Ovis aries: one gene and its partner. The protein of the gene in region 2 binds, or shares a complex with, the protein of the main gene of each other region. Links are inferred from orthologs where the notes say so. Each region holds a gene or a part of one and is shown on either strand. Other genes may lie near its edges.

Region 1 (4,859 bases), on a different chromosome or scaffold from region 2:
GTTTTATCATGACATAAAACCTTTCAAACAGCTAAAGAGTAGTGAGAAAACTGCTCCCTCTTGAGGAGTATTAACTTTACTAAGTTTAACTTCATGTATTAATATAATTTCATAAGTACCTTTAGACTTAAAATTTATATAGCTCAGCTCCTTCTTACTAGTGTGACTGAGCAACCCGGTCATCCATACGTTATCTTCATTTCCTAAAGGAACTTTAAAACAATCTCTTCACCTGTGGTAAACATTTACCTTTTTAAGTTAGCATCTGATTTCTGTACAACCAAAATTAAAACCATTTTGCAATACACTCTATTATTAAACAGAAGAAAATTCTGCTGTCTTAGTTTCCAAATAAACCTGTGAAATAATTAAACTGCGTTCTTAATGTTATCCATTAAAAAAAAAATCATTAAAATCCTAAAAAAATTAACTTCTTCTAGGTAGTTACCTTGATTACAGTCAATAACATTGCAAAATTCCCTGACGTTGTTTTCATTGATTTCAGCTTGCTTTCTTTCAATAAATGCAGATATTCGTCTGTCAATCTGCAAACAATAAGTATATGCATCTTAATTCAAACATAGGAAAATTTTAAAAAATACTCCCTTGGCCCCCCAGAACCCAACTTCTTACTTCTGCTTTTCCAGCCTTTATCTGAACTACTTCTGGATCAAAATGGATCTGTGTCTTTTTCACATCTCCTAAATCACCGTCTTTGTGCTTTTCTTCCTCTTCCAGGTCTCCAGTGGGAAAGTTGGCATTTACTTCATTCTTGTTCCCTGTTTCTGTTTTTCCTATTTCTTCAACAACAGTTGTATTCTCCTCTTTAATCAGAGGCTGAAGTTTTGCTAAAAAAGGCTGAGAAGAACACAATTCCATCTGCTGAGGTTCAAACTGATCAAAATTAATCACATTTACCATATTTATATAAATTTCAGCTAAGTAAAAGCAATATTCAGTATCAATTAACTAAATATAAAAGGTTGGCATCATACATAGATCTGACCACATGTAAGTGTTTTTGCTGTTCTCTATTATTGTGACCAATATCATTTGCTATAAATCTATTTAAAGAAAAAAGGAAAGAGAAAGAAAACCTGAGGAAATTTAAAATTTTCTTTGAGGGAATCATTCTGTCACTCATCTTTTATTTTGTGCCAAATCAAAGCCTCAGCCTCTGGCACCAATGCCACTTAATTAACATGTCATTCAAATGCCTCCTCAGAACACTAAGGCTTAGTATTTTTCCTCCTTAACACAAGAGCCAGTGCTCTCACTCAGCAAAGCCCTGCATTAGCACTGTATCACTGGAGATTCTCCACTTGAAACTGCAGTTGGCCAAAGTGAATGAGAGAGCATAGACATGAAATATATAGGTGTTATGCTGAGTGAACACTCAGGCTTTTCCTGACATGACAAGATATCTTCTTGGGTCATGAATTTAAATTTTTAAAAAGAAAATGAACAAGGAAAAAAGAAAAACATTACCAAGAGCCATAGCTGAAAGAGGTAGATGCCTACAATACTAGTGGGGAATACAACTCTATCATGTAAATTATACTACAATCCCCTCCAACACACTCACACAAAATTAGGCCTCAACTGAGTCCTATAGCTCATTGCTTCCACCCTTCAAAACTATGGTTAACTATTACTTTTAACATGAAACAGTTAAAATTTCCCCAAAAGTCACTGAATAAAGGGCTGAAAATTGTCTACTCTACTAATCAAAACATACCAACACTTGTCAAAGTTCCAATTATTTTTTCATACCTACAATTTTGCTTCCTTTGTCTGCTATACCAAAAATTCTTCTGAATCCTTATAATATCTTAATGGCACTAAACTGACCAATCCAAACCTTTATGACACTTCATATTTTATACTTTGATTAGAGATAAACTGTAAACATCTATCAATAATAACTGCAAATATGTTCAGCTGGAAACTAGTAAGGTCATAATACTGTTTGGTTATTGAACTGAAATATTTTTTAAAATATAGCAATACTATTATAGATTAACAATTCAGTGTTGACTTTTAATATAAAGAATGAATTATTTTAAACTCTTAAGATCATAAAATAGTGACTGGCTACTTACTAATATGAGACATTAATGTCACAGAAATTACTTTCTTTTTAAAAACTATGCTGAAACTGTTTAATTGCAATAGACACTCCAGGATGTGTCATGCTGGGATAATGCCACTTCTTGAACCACTGAAAGCACTCCATGAGCCTCCAAACTCACCCAAGGCATGGAATCATTATCATAGCATGACACACACCTGCCGTGTCTTATTGCTTAATTATAACCCACCATAGATGCAACTGTATTGAATTTTCAGTGCAAGTCTGGAATCGAATAGAACTGCATTCATTCAGTTGTCACACCCACAGCAGCCCATTCGGCTATATTCCTGTAACTGTCCTGATCACTATGTAAATTAAAGATTTAGATCCAATCTGGCTGAAGTAACCTTTTATTAATAACAGTATTAATAAGGTGTTAAGACAGAACCTACAAATACTCCAGTGTACAATTTAGCTACAATTAATTTCTAGTCTCAGTATCGAGTTAACATTTTTAACAAGAAATTTACCTGTAAATATAAAACGTGTTGCTCAAGTGCACTAAAGAGAAAAGCGGGCTGGAATGCCGAGAGGCTCTGGAGCTTGTTCCAATCGATTGTAATTTTCACCACATCATCTCTGAGGTTAAGCTTTAAAGGGGCAAACCAGCAATATCACAAAAATTACATGATTAAGCTGTACATATGGGATTGTCACAAAAATAAGATTTCTATAGAATAACATGCCATTTAGATCAAAGTTCTCAAGTTTTTAATGATACATAAAAGTGCTCTACCTAGTTACCACTCCAAAAAGGCAAGAAAGGTCCAGTTCTCAGAAAAAAGCAGATGACATCTCTAATTCTTTTCTTGGGTCTGTGTAATGGGACCATCTCACAGGTAAAACTATCCAGGAAAGATGAAAAGATGAGGCTTTTTTTTTTTTTTTTAATAATTCAGTATCTGAAAACTTTTGGATAGGGGCCAACAAATGCTTGCCCTATTCAAAATCCTACTGCTTCTAGCTAAGAACATTAAATACAGGGGGAGGTACATTTATGAAAGTTCTGATTTCATAATTTCTGCATTTGTTTTTGTTAAATATGCACATAAATATGTAACAAATATATCATTCCTCTGATGTCTTCCGAATCACATTTTCATTGTTTTCAATTTTAACCAATTTTTTAAATTTAAAAATCAACTCATATATTCATATTCATATATATTATAAAGTCTGCAGCTACATGGCAGCATATGTTTACTTCAAATAAAAATTAAACTATTATTTAGCTGTGGAAATCTGAAATTTAAAAACAAATGTTTTTCCACAATAGTGAAATAAACAGCCAAAGACTGGATGGAAAGGTCAGACTCACTGCTAAACAGTATTTTCTAGTACAATGTAAGAGTTCATGAAAATTTCTCCTAAATTGGCTATGTATGGCCTATTACGATAAAGTTATACATAGAAAACTACCACAAACCTGAATATAAAATTAATACCAAGATGAGTCAACATTTCAGAGGGAAAGCCTCCATTTTTAGTATTTCAAGTGAATAAAAGTGAATCACTGTAAACATTTTTAGGGACACGTGTGTTATGGCATATATCCTGCATCACAGGATCAAGTTAACTCTTATTTTTTCAGAAATCATTTATTTAAAATTAGTCATGTTTTCTACAAAATAAGGACAAGTGTTCTATTAGTTAAGATCTTATGAACTGTGATTATAATAAAACAAAAAAAATGAATCACTGTACCAAAGAGATCCAAAGTTCCCCAAAAGGCACTATATGTATGAATGCTGTATGACAGAAATTTACCACCCTTTGACCAGAAATATTTAAAGTCCATATTAGACAAGTGTAAAGAAGTTTTGTGTAGGATGCACTGGCAAAAATTAGTTTGTTATTTTAACTAAATTAGTTTGTTATTTTATATTAAGAAAATCATATTAATCTTAATTTCTATTTTTTAGTGCTTATAAATGTTTCAACAGCTTATGCATGGAAGTAACCCATCACTATACTTTTACAGTTCTAAAGGAATCTATAATTGATTATAACAAACTTACAAATACAGTTTGGGGATAACGCAGGCAAATCCTCAACCAAAGCAAAGCATCAAATTTTCTAGAAAATAACTTATAGAAATTAAATTGAATGTCTGGATTATATTCTCATTTCAATTTAGCAGAATTATATAAACTTTCAAGTGCAAGATACTTGGTCTTTGAAGAAACCACATAACAATGCCACAAATTAACTTTAAAACTATCCCCAATACATCCAACTATTATTCAACAAATTCCCTATTAGTAATATATGAATTCTGTGCATTTTTACCTATAGAACTTGTAAACCATTCAGTCAAAAAGGTATTAGTCTGTCATTAATATGAACTATTTAAAATACACATTTCAGTAAAAACTTTATTACACTAATATAAAAATCCAAGTTAACAATAAATATTTCTTCAGCTTGGTAAAATGCAGCAACCAGAGGCAAAATCAGTATTCAATAAATTCAAAATCTGGGCTAGGAAAATTTTAACATCTGATTCTATGTTTCCTATTGAGGAGAGCTAATAACACAATGATACTATATAGAAGGAACTAGGCATTTTACAACATAGATTTTTTTAAATTTCTTAATCTTGTTTCAAAGGGAAATAGTTATTTCCACCAGGAACAATTTTATAAGTATAGTATTCTGGCTTTCAGTATCTTTAACAGTACATCTCAAAATATAAAGAGTATCACCAAATTGGCTAGCATTTAAT
Region 2 (6,154 bases):
TGGTAAATGCTCAATAAGTGACAGCTGGTATTATTTAGATTTATGTATCATATGCTCTTCGCCCAGCAGATGAACGGTGGCAGGGTGATGAGGAAAGGAGTCCCTGAGACCTGCTAAGGTCGCTTCTTTAACCCCGAGACCTTGAGGATGACTAGAGCTGAACATGCACGTGTGTGATGTGAGCAGAGCAAAATGGGTTTGATCCTGTAATGTGTTTTTCACAACAACTCAGTGGATAACCGGCCCCTACTCTCTTTCCTCTAACCAGCTCCCCCTTCTTTTTGTTACCTCCTTTTCTTTCTCATTCAACTTCTCTGTGCCAGGGAGGCCAGTGAGGTTCAAGGGCGGTGCACTTCGTCTACCTATAGATACAGACAGAAAAAGGTATGTATTTTGCAGGAGACAGTACCTCAGGAGTAAAAAGTGTAACAAAGTTCACCATGGTCAGGCCTGTCAGGTACAAAACCACTATACATCGGGTACCCCAAAGTTCACTTGAAAACAAAACCAGTAAGTCAAGGACTTCCCTAGCGGCGCCATGGATAATACTGTGCCTGCCGACGCAGGGGACACAGGTCCGCTCCCTGGCTGGGGAAGAGTCCACGTGCTGCAGAGTAAGTCCTTGACAACCACGGAGTCTATGTGCTGCAACTACTGAAGCCCTTGTGCCCAGAGCCTGTGCTCTGCAACGAGACGCCACCACGAGGAGAGGCCCACGCACTGCGATGAAGAGTAGCCCTACTCGCTGCAATTAAGAAAGCAAGCCCACACGAGAGTAACAAAGACCCTGCACGGCCAAAAATAAGATAAAGAAAGAAAGAACTTTTTTAAAAAAAAAGGTAAGTCAAGTGTCCTTTGCCTTGATAAAATGCACATATAATCACACATACCTCAGAGTCAAATAAGATTATTCTTCCTAATCCAGCAGAAGATTCTAAAATCTACAGCCCAGATGTCATCTGGTTAAGAAAGGTCACATGCCACCTGTCTTGACAGCTGATGAATGGAAATAACAACTCTGCAGGAGAGACAGTCCCGAACACCGGCCATTCTGCCAGCAGGCAAACATGGTAATTACCCAGGCACCATTCACCTTGAGATCAAAGGCAGAGTCAGGCCAGCAAAGGGCCTTCATTATGTATTATTTGAGAGAATATCTGTTCCTCCCAAAGTAGCCCTGTTTACCTGAAAGACCCACACAGAGGAACAATGAGCCAGTATACGGCAAAGCAGAGGCTGAGGCGAACTCACATACCTTGAGAAAGAGACCCAAGCACGAGGTCACTGCCCAGGAGGGGAAGCCTGATATGCGCAACTCTGGGGATTTGTTTTGAATGTAAACTTGAGTGAATGGACTGTGTTAAGCAAAAGAAAATGTAGAATACTACGTTACACTTCGTGGGGGCAGGGTGCTGCTTAGCTGGTGGAGAGCAGGGGGAGGGGCTATTACAGCTCGCTCTGCAAGGAAACAGACTTCCCTTTAGTATCAACAGAGGGAGCGGGAGCTGCTCCGCAGTCCTAGGCCTAGCCTGACCCTAAATGCCCTGAAACGGAGATTATGATCACTCAAATGCCTCACCAGTTCCGAGAGGCTATGTTATGATCAGTGATTCAGGTTTCCAACTCTGCACTGCCTTAGGAGCAACTCAGAGTGTGAAAAGGAGCAAAGAGTCATCTCAGCCTAAACACTTAGGAGCTGAGGGAAGCTGATGCCCGCCAGGGAAGCAACCAAGAGTGAGTGCAAATGGTTCAGAAAACACAAATACCAAAGAAGCTAGGTCAAGTACATTCATTCACTTTAATCAGCCAACATTAAATTTTCTTATTTCTGTATTTAGACTGCGGGAGGATTTGGATGTGAGAAACTTATCCAGTCTGTAAACAGGGGAGTGGTCTCTACGTTCTGATCAGAGGAAGTGGCTAACCTACCATATGGAGCAGGGATGAATAATAACCAAGAAAACAGGCAAACGAACACCATGATCTTAGATCAGCATCTACAACTAATACCACCCCACACTACCCTTTATTAATTACCAAGCAGCAAGGATTATCAGATATCATATGGCTTAATCGTGCCCTGTAAACTGACCTCAAAATAGGACATGCCAGAAGAGACAGGAAAGAGAAATACTTTTAAGTCTCCGACTTATAAAGAAAGTCTTACTATTCTGGCAAGTAACGTGTCTCCTTGCTTATACAGGACACAAAGCCTTTAAATTATCCCCTGTGAGACAATCTTTAAGTCTGTGGTAGATAAAATCATAGTAAACAAACTGTCTGTGAACATTGGTAAAACAGAAAAAACACCTGTCTGAGGTCCTCTCCTTCTGCCTTTGTAGTGTAAACCCGAGGAAAGTTCCTGTTTGGCCATGAAGATTCTATCAACTTGCTGATGTTTATGAATCTGTATAATAATCACCAATCCTTTGCCTAAGCACCTGGCTCCCACAAAGGCGGGAGGGTTTGTTGGGTCACTATAATTCCCAGGATGAAAACTCCACAATTGTGACTTGCTCCAGCCTGAAAAACAATTACCTGAATTCGAAGTCATGGGAACAGAAGGACTCAGGCCAGAATCACTACAAAAAAGAAGAGGAATTTAAACTTACGTCACATCAAAGAAAGAGATTCCCAAAGCCCACGAGAGACTGGGTGACATTTATCAGGTCAGCTACTTAGAAGAGAAGTAATGAGACAGACTAGACTATGTTTTTACAGGCTATCCCAACTGCACACAACTCAGGAAAGGAAATCTGTTCCAGGGAAGGAAATTGCCTAGATTTGTTAAGAGGTCCTGGTGTGGCACATCACAGAGACCATTCATGAGCAAAAAGCAGGAATTTGATCTTCCAGTGAAAATCACATCAGTAGATACAGAAGAAGGTGTGGCAAGGGAATACACTAATCTTAAAAAATAAGGTCAAAGTAGCAAAGTGGGATTCTAGGAGGCCAGTTACATTTCTCAAAACTGTCAGTACTGTACTGTTTGAGACAGCCTGCTCAAGCTTTCTGAATTCTTCTAGCTACCTAATTATTACAGCTCTGCCATTTAGGGTAGGGCACCCACGGGACTGTCTGAAAATACAGGTAAAGGCCGAAAGCTCCGTGAAGCTGTCCCCCGGACTAATTCCTCACATGTCAGCCTGCCGGCGGAGCCACTGCTGGCAGGCGCTGCTGTCCTGGATGTACTGGAGGACCTCAGAGAGCATGGTGCGTTTGAGGCGTTCCTCTTCTCGAGTCTTCTTGAGGTGATCGTAGGTTCTGGCACCTGTAGGTGTTAAAAAAGTGACTACAATGACAAGGTAGCAGGACTAACCAAAGGGCTGCCAAACTCATCAACAAACAGTTCATCTTTTTTAATTTTTAATTTTTGCGGCCTTGCTATGAGGCTCGTGGCATCCTAGTTCCTCAACCAGGGATCAAACCCAGGCCCATGGCAGTGAAAGCACAGAGCCCTAACCATTGGACCCCAGGGGATTCCCAGTCGTTTTTTAATTTGCTTTGAAAAACTGCTTCCAGAATTATTTTTCTAAGAGCAAAGTGATTTCCCCTAGTTTGAAATCTCTTTCTTGATAAGAAATGAAAATGTGTTTATTCCTTTTCTACCTTTAAGAAATTTGAGAGAGGGAATCCCCAAAACAGAAAAGTACAAAGAAAGTTGGAGTTGCTCCTATTTCCATCCCCTAAAAGTAACTTAATACTGTTATATTTACTTCCTGCTCTATTTTTTCTATCCATATATTTTTCCAAGTCACACAAATGCTATACACATACACTGTTCCTTAAAAACCAGTTAGGATTACAAATAAAAATAAATCCTCATTGACTATTACTATTCTGGTCACCTCTTTCCTGGAGACAGCCAGCATCAGGCAACCCAAATCTGGCATCAGAGTCTTTACACGCATCTTGCTAACAGCTGCATAGTGTTTTCCACACTATTAATGTATAAAAATGCAAAATATCAAACCAGTGGGTTTCAAGCCAAGTTCCACAGAGGCCCAGGTTACCATGAAAACATCTCAGGGATTACTGTGAACGTACCGGTGGTCCTGGGCTCCACACATGATCTGAATCATCAGACTTCAACCTAAGGAGTTCCACTTTTATTTATGGGTTAGTGCTCCACATAAAATTTCATTTTGTAAACAGTTTCCAATGTTAGAAATAAAGAGCCATTTTGCTGGGCTGAACTTGAGCACTGGGTGAACGGGTGATAGCTTTCAATCAACAGGAAGGAGGGAATGCTGAAGACCATCCCCAAAACAAAAACAAAACGACAGAAACTGCCACTTACTGAGGACGTGGTGCGTCAGGTACTATACTATGTTTTCATGCATTATCTCTAATTTAATCTCCACATGAGCTCTAAGAGACTTGGAAAATTGAAAACAAATAGAATTACAGATTTGGTAAAAGAGCCAGAATCCAAACCCGAGCTGTCCAAGCCTAGACTTCAGCTCTTAACTGCTAACACAACTGTCTTCTCTTACAACCTGGCTCTACTACAACTAGTTAATCACTTTCATCCTTAGTTTCTCTATTAAATGAGAATAACAATACCCATCTCTTAAGGTGAAAGTGAAGTCGCTCAGTCATGTCTGACTCTTTGCTACCCCATGGACTGTAGCCCACCAGGCTCCTCTGTCCATGGGATTTTCCAGGCAAGAATACTGGAGTGGGCTGCCACTGCTTTCTCCAGGGGATCTTCCCAACCCAAGGATTGAACCCAGGTCTCTAACATTGTAGGCAGATGCTTTACCGTCTGAGCCACCAGAGAAGTCCCTCTCTTAAGCTGGTGAAGTAGAAAGGGTACAGTTCAATACATGGTGAATGGTTAGGTGCCATGAATATAATCATCTCTAACTCGAGTAACTGGGATGCAAGTGCCTAGAACCAACTGAAGTGTGCTTAATGGGAATGATCAGATCATCACTAAATTTAAAAAGGCTGAGGCTAAAAGTTGGAATACAAAATCTTTCTTTTTAAGAGGCCACAACAGAATCCTAAATCGAAAGTAGCAACTCTGTCATACTTTTTATTTCACCTCAGATAATCCATATAATGGTATTTATAAGGATTAAATAGATGAAGCTTTTTGGAAAGATCAAAAACTCATTCTGAAATGTGAAAGCTTGTTTATATGTTTGGAAGGCACCTGCCCTCTGATTTAGTGTGGAGCATAAACATACTTACTACAAAAATTGGTAATGCCTGCCGTCCTGTATTCCTGGAGCCTTTTGATTTCCCTTCGGAGTTCAAATTCCACTGTTTATCCCCCCAAAAAAGACAGAGAAAAATCAGAAAAACAAAATCAACACCAATGAGCACTTTTACTGCTATTTTCAGTAATTCTGCCTTCTATAATAGACCAGGCAATTCCATTTGGGGAATCCTAATTGTTGCTAATATCTCATTAGAAATTTTACTTAAGAGCTGACAAAAATGTACTGCAGTGGTCTTTTGGCTTCTGTCTCCAGTTGCAGAAAGCAGCTGGAATTGTTTCTTAGAAAACTTCATAGTGACCTGGCTGAATTCATTTAGCTACAGTAGTAATGAATATAATTTCTTAAACCACCAAGTTTCCCTGCTCTATTTATTCCTTGTTAAAAGCTCTAGCCACAAAGCCAAATTTCAGTATGAAACCTGTCTCTGGTATTACATGACACAGACCTTTTTGCAAGGGAAGGACAAAATTTTGTGCTCAAGTTCCCGATGGTTTCTTTACAGCTTTTCTCTTACAGGGACAAAAGAGCAGTGTGTTTTCCATAAACCAAGATTTCTGCCTCCTCTGAGCACACAGATCAGGTTGCACTGCTCAGATTATTATGTGATGGAATGTTCAAATCTGGGTGCTTTGAAAAAGAGGATGAAGGAAGAACCTGGACAATCCATGGGGTGTAGTTCCCTGGAGTGACACATAAACCAGGGATGGTACAAACTGGGACAGGAAGTAAAGATCAGCCACCCAGGATAAATCACACAAAGAATGCCAACTAAACAGGGTGTCTGTGAGGACAACCAAGCCAGTTCAGATAAATGCCTGCAATGTCATGCAAGAAATATCTGCACAAAGAGAACAGGATACAAGCCTTCATGAAGTTCTTTCCTGAGCTAAATTTGGGAGTCAAAATCAAATACCTGAATCTCA

The links. The genes of interacting proteins can lie anywhere in the genome.
Region 1: TADA2A (region 2) and MBIP share a complex: the UniProt entries of both Homo sapiens proteins name them as parts of the ADA2A-containing complex. The link is inferred for Ovis aries from reciprocal best matches to the Homo sapiens genes TADA2A and MBIP.

Annotation. Positions count from the first base shown.
Region 1 is NC_056071.1:44,236,232-44,241,090, forward strand, and holds part of MBIP (MAP3K12-binding inhibitory protein 1), read right to left. Parts: intron 2,725-4,859; coding exon 2,605-2,724; intron 859-2,604; coding exon 634-858; intron 546-633; coding exon 449-545; intron 1-448. UniProt on the Homo sapiens protein: Inhibits the MAP3K12 activity to induce the activation of the JNK/SAPK pathway. Component of the ATAC complex, a complex with histone acetyltransferase activity on histones H3 and H4.
Region 2 is NC_056064.1:13,461,657-13,467,810, reverse strand, and holds part of TADA2A (transcriptional adapter 2-alpha), read right to left. Parts: intron 5,272-6,154; coding exon 5,200-5,271; intron 3,272-5,199; coding exon 3,139-3,271; intron 2,583-3,138; coding exon 2,216-2,582; 3' UTR 363-2,215; coding exon of another isoform or gene 289-362; 3' UTR 1-288. UniProt on the Homo sapiens protein: Component of the ATAC complex, a complex with histone acetyltransferase activity on histones H3 and H4. Required for the function of some acidic activation domains, which activate transcription from a distant site. Binds double-stranded DNA.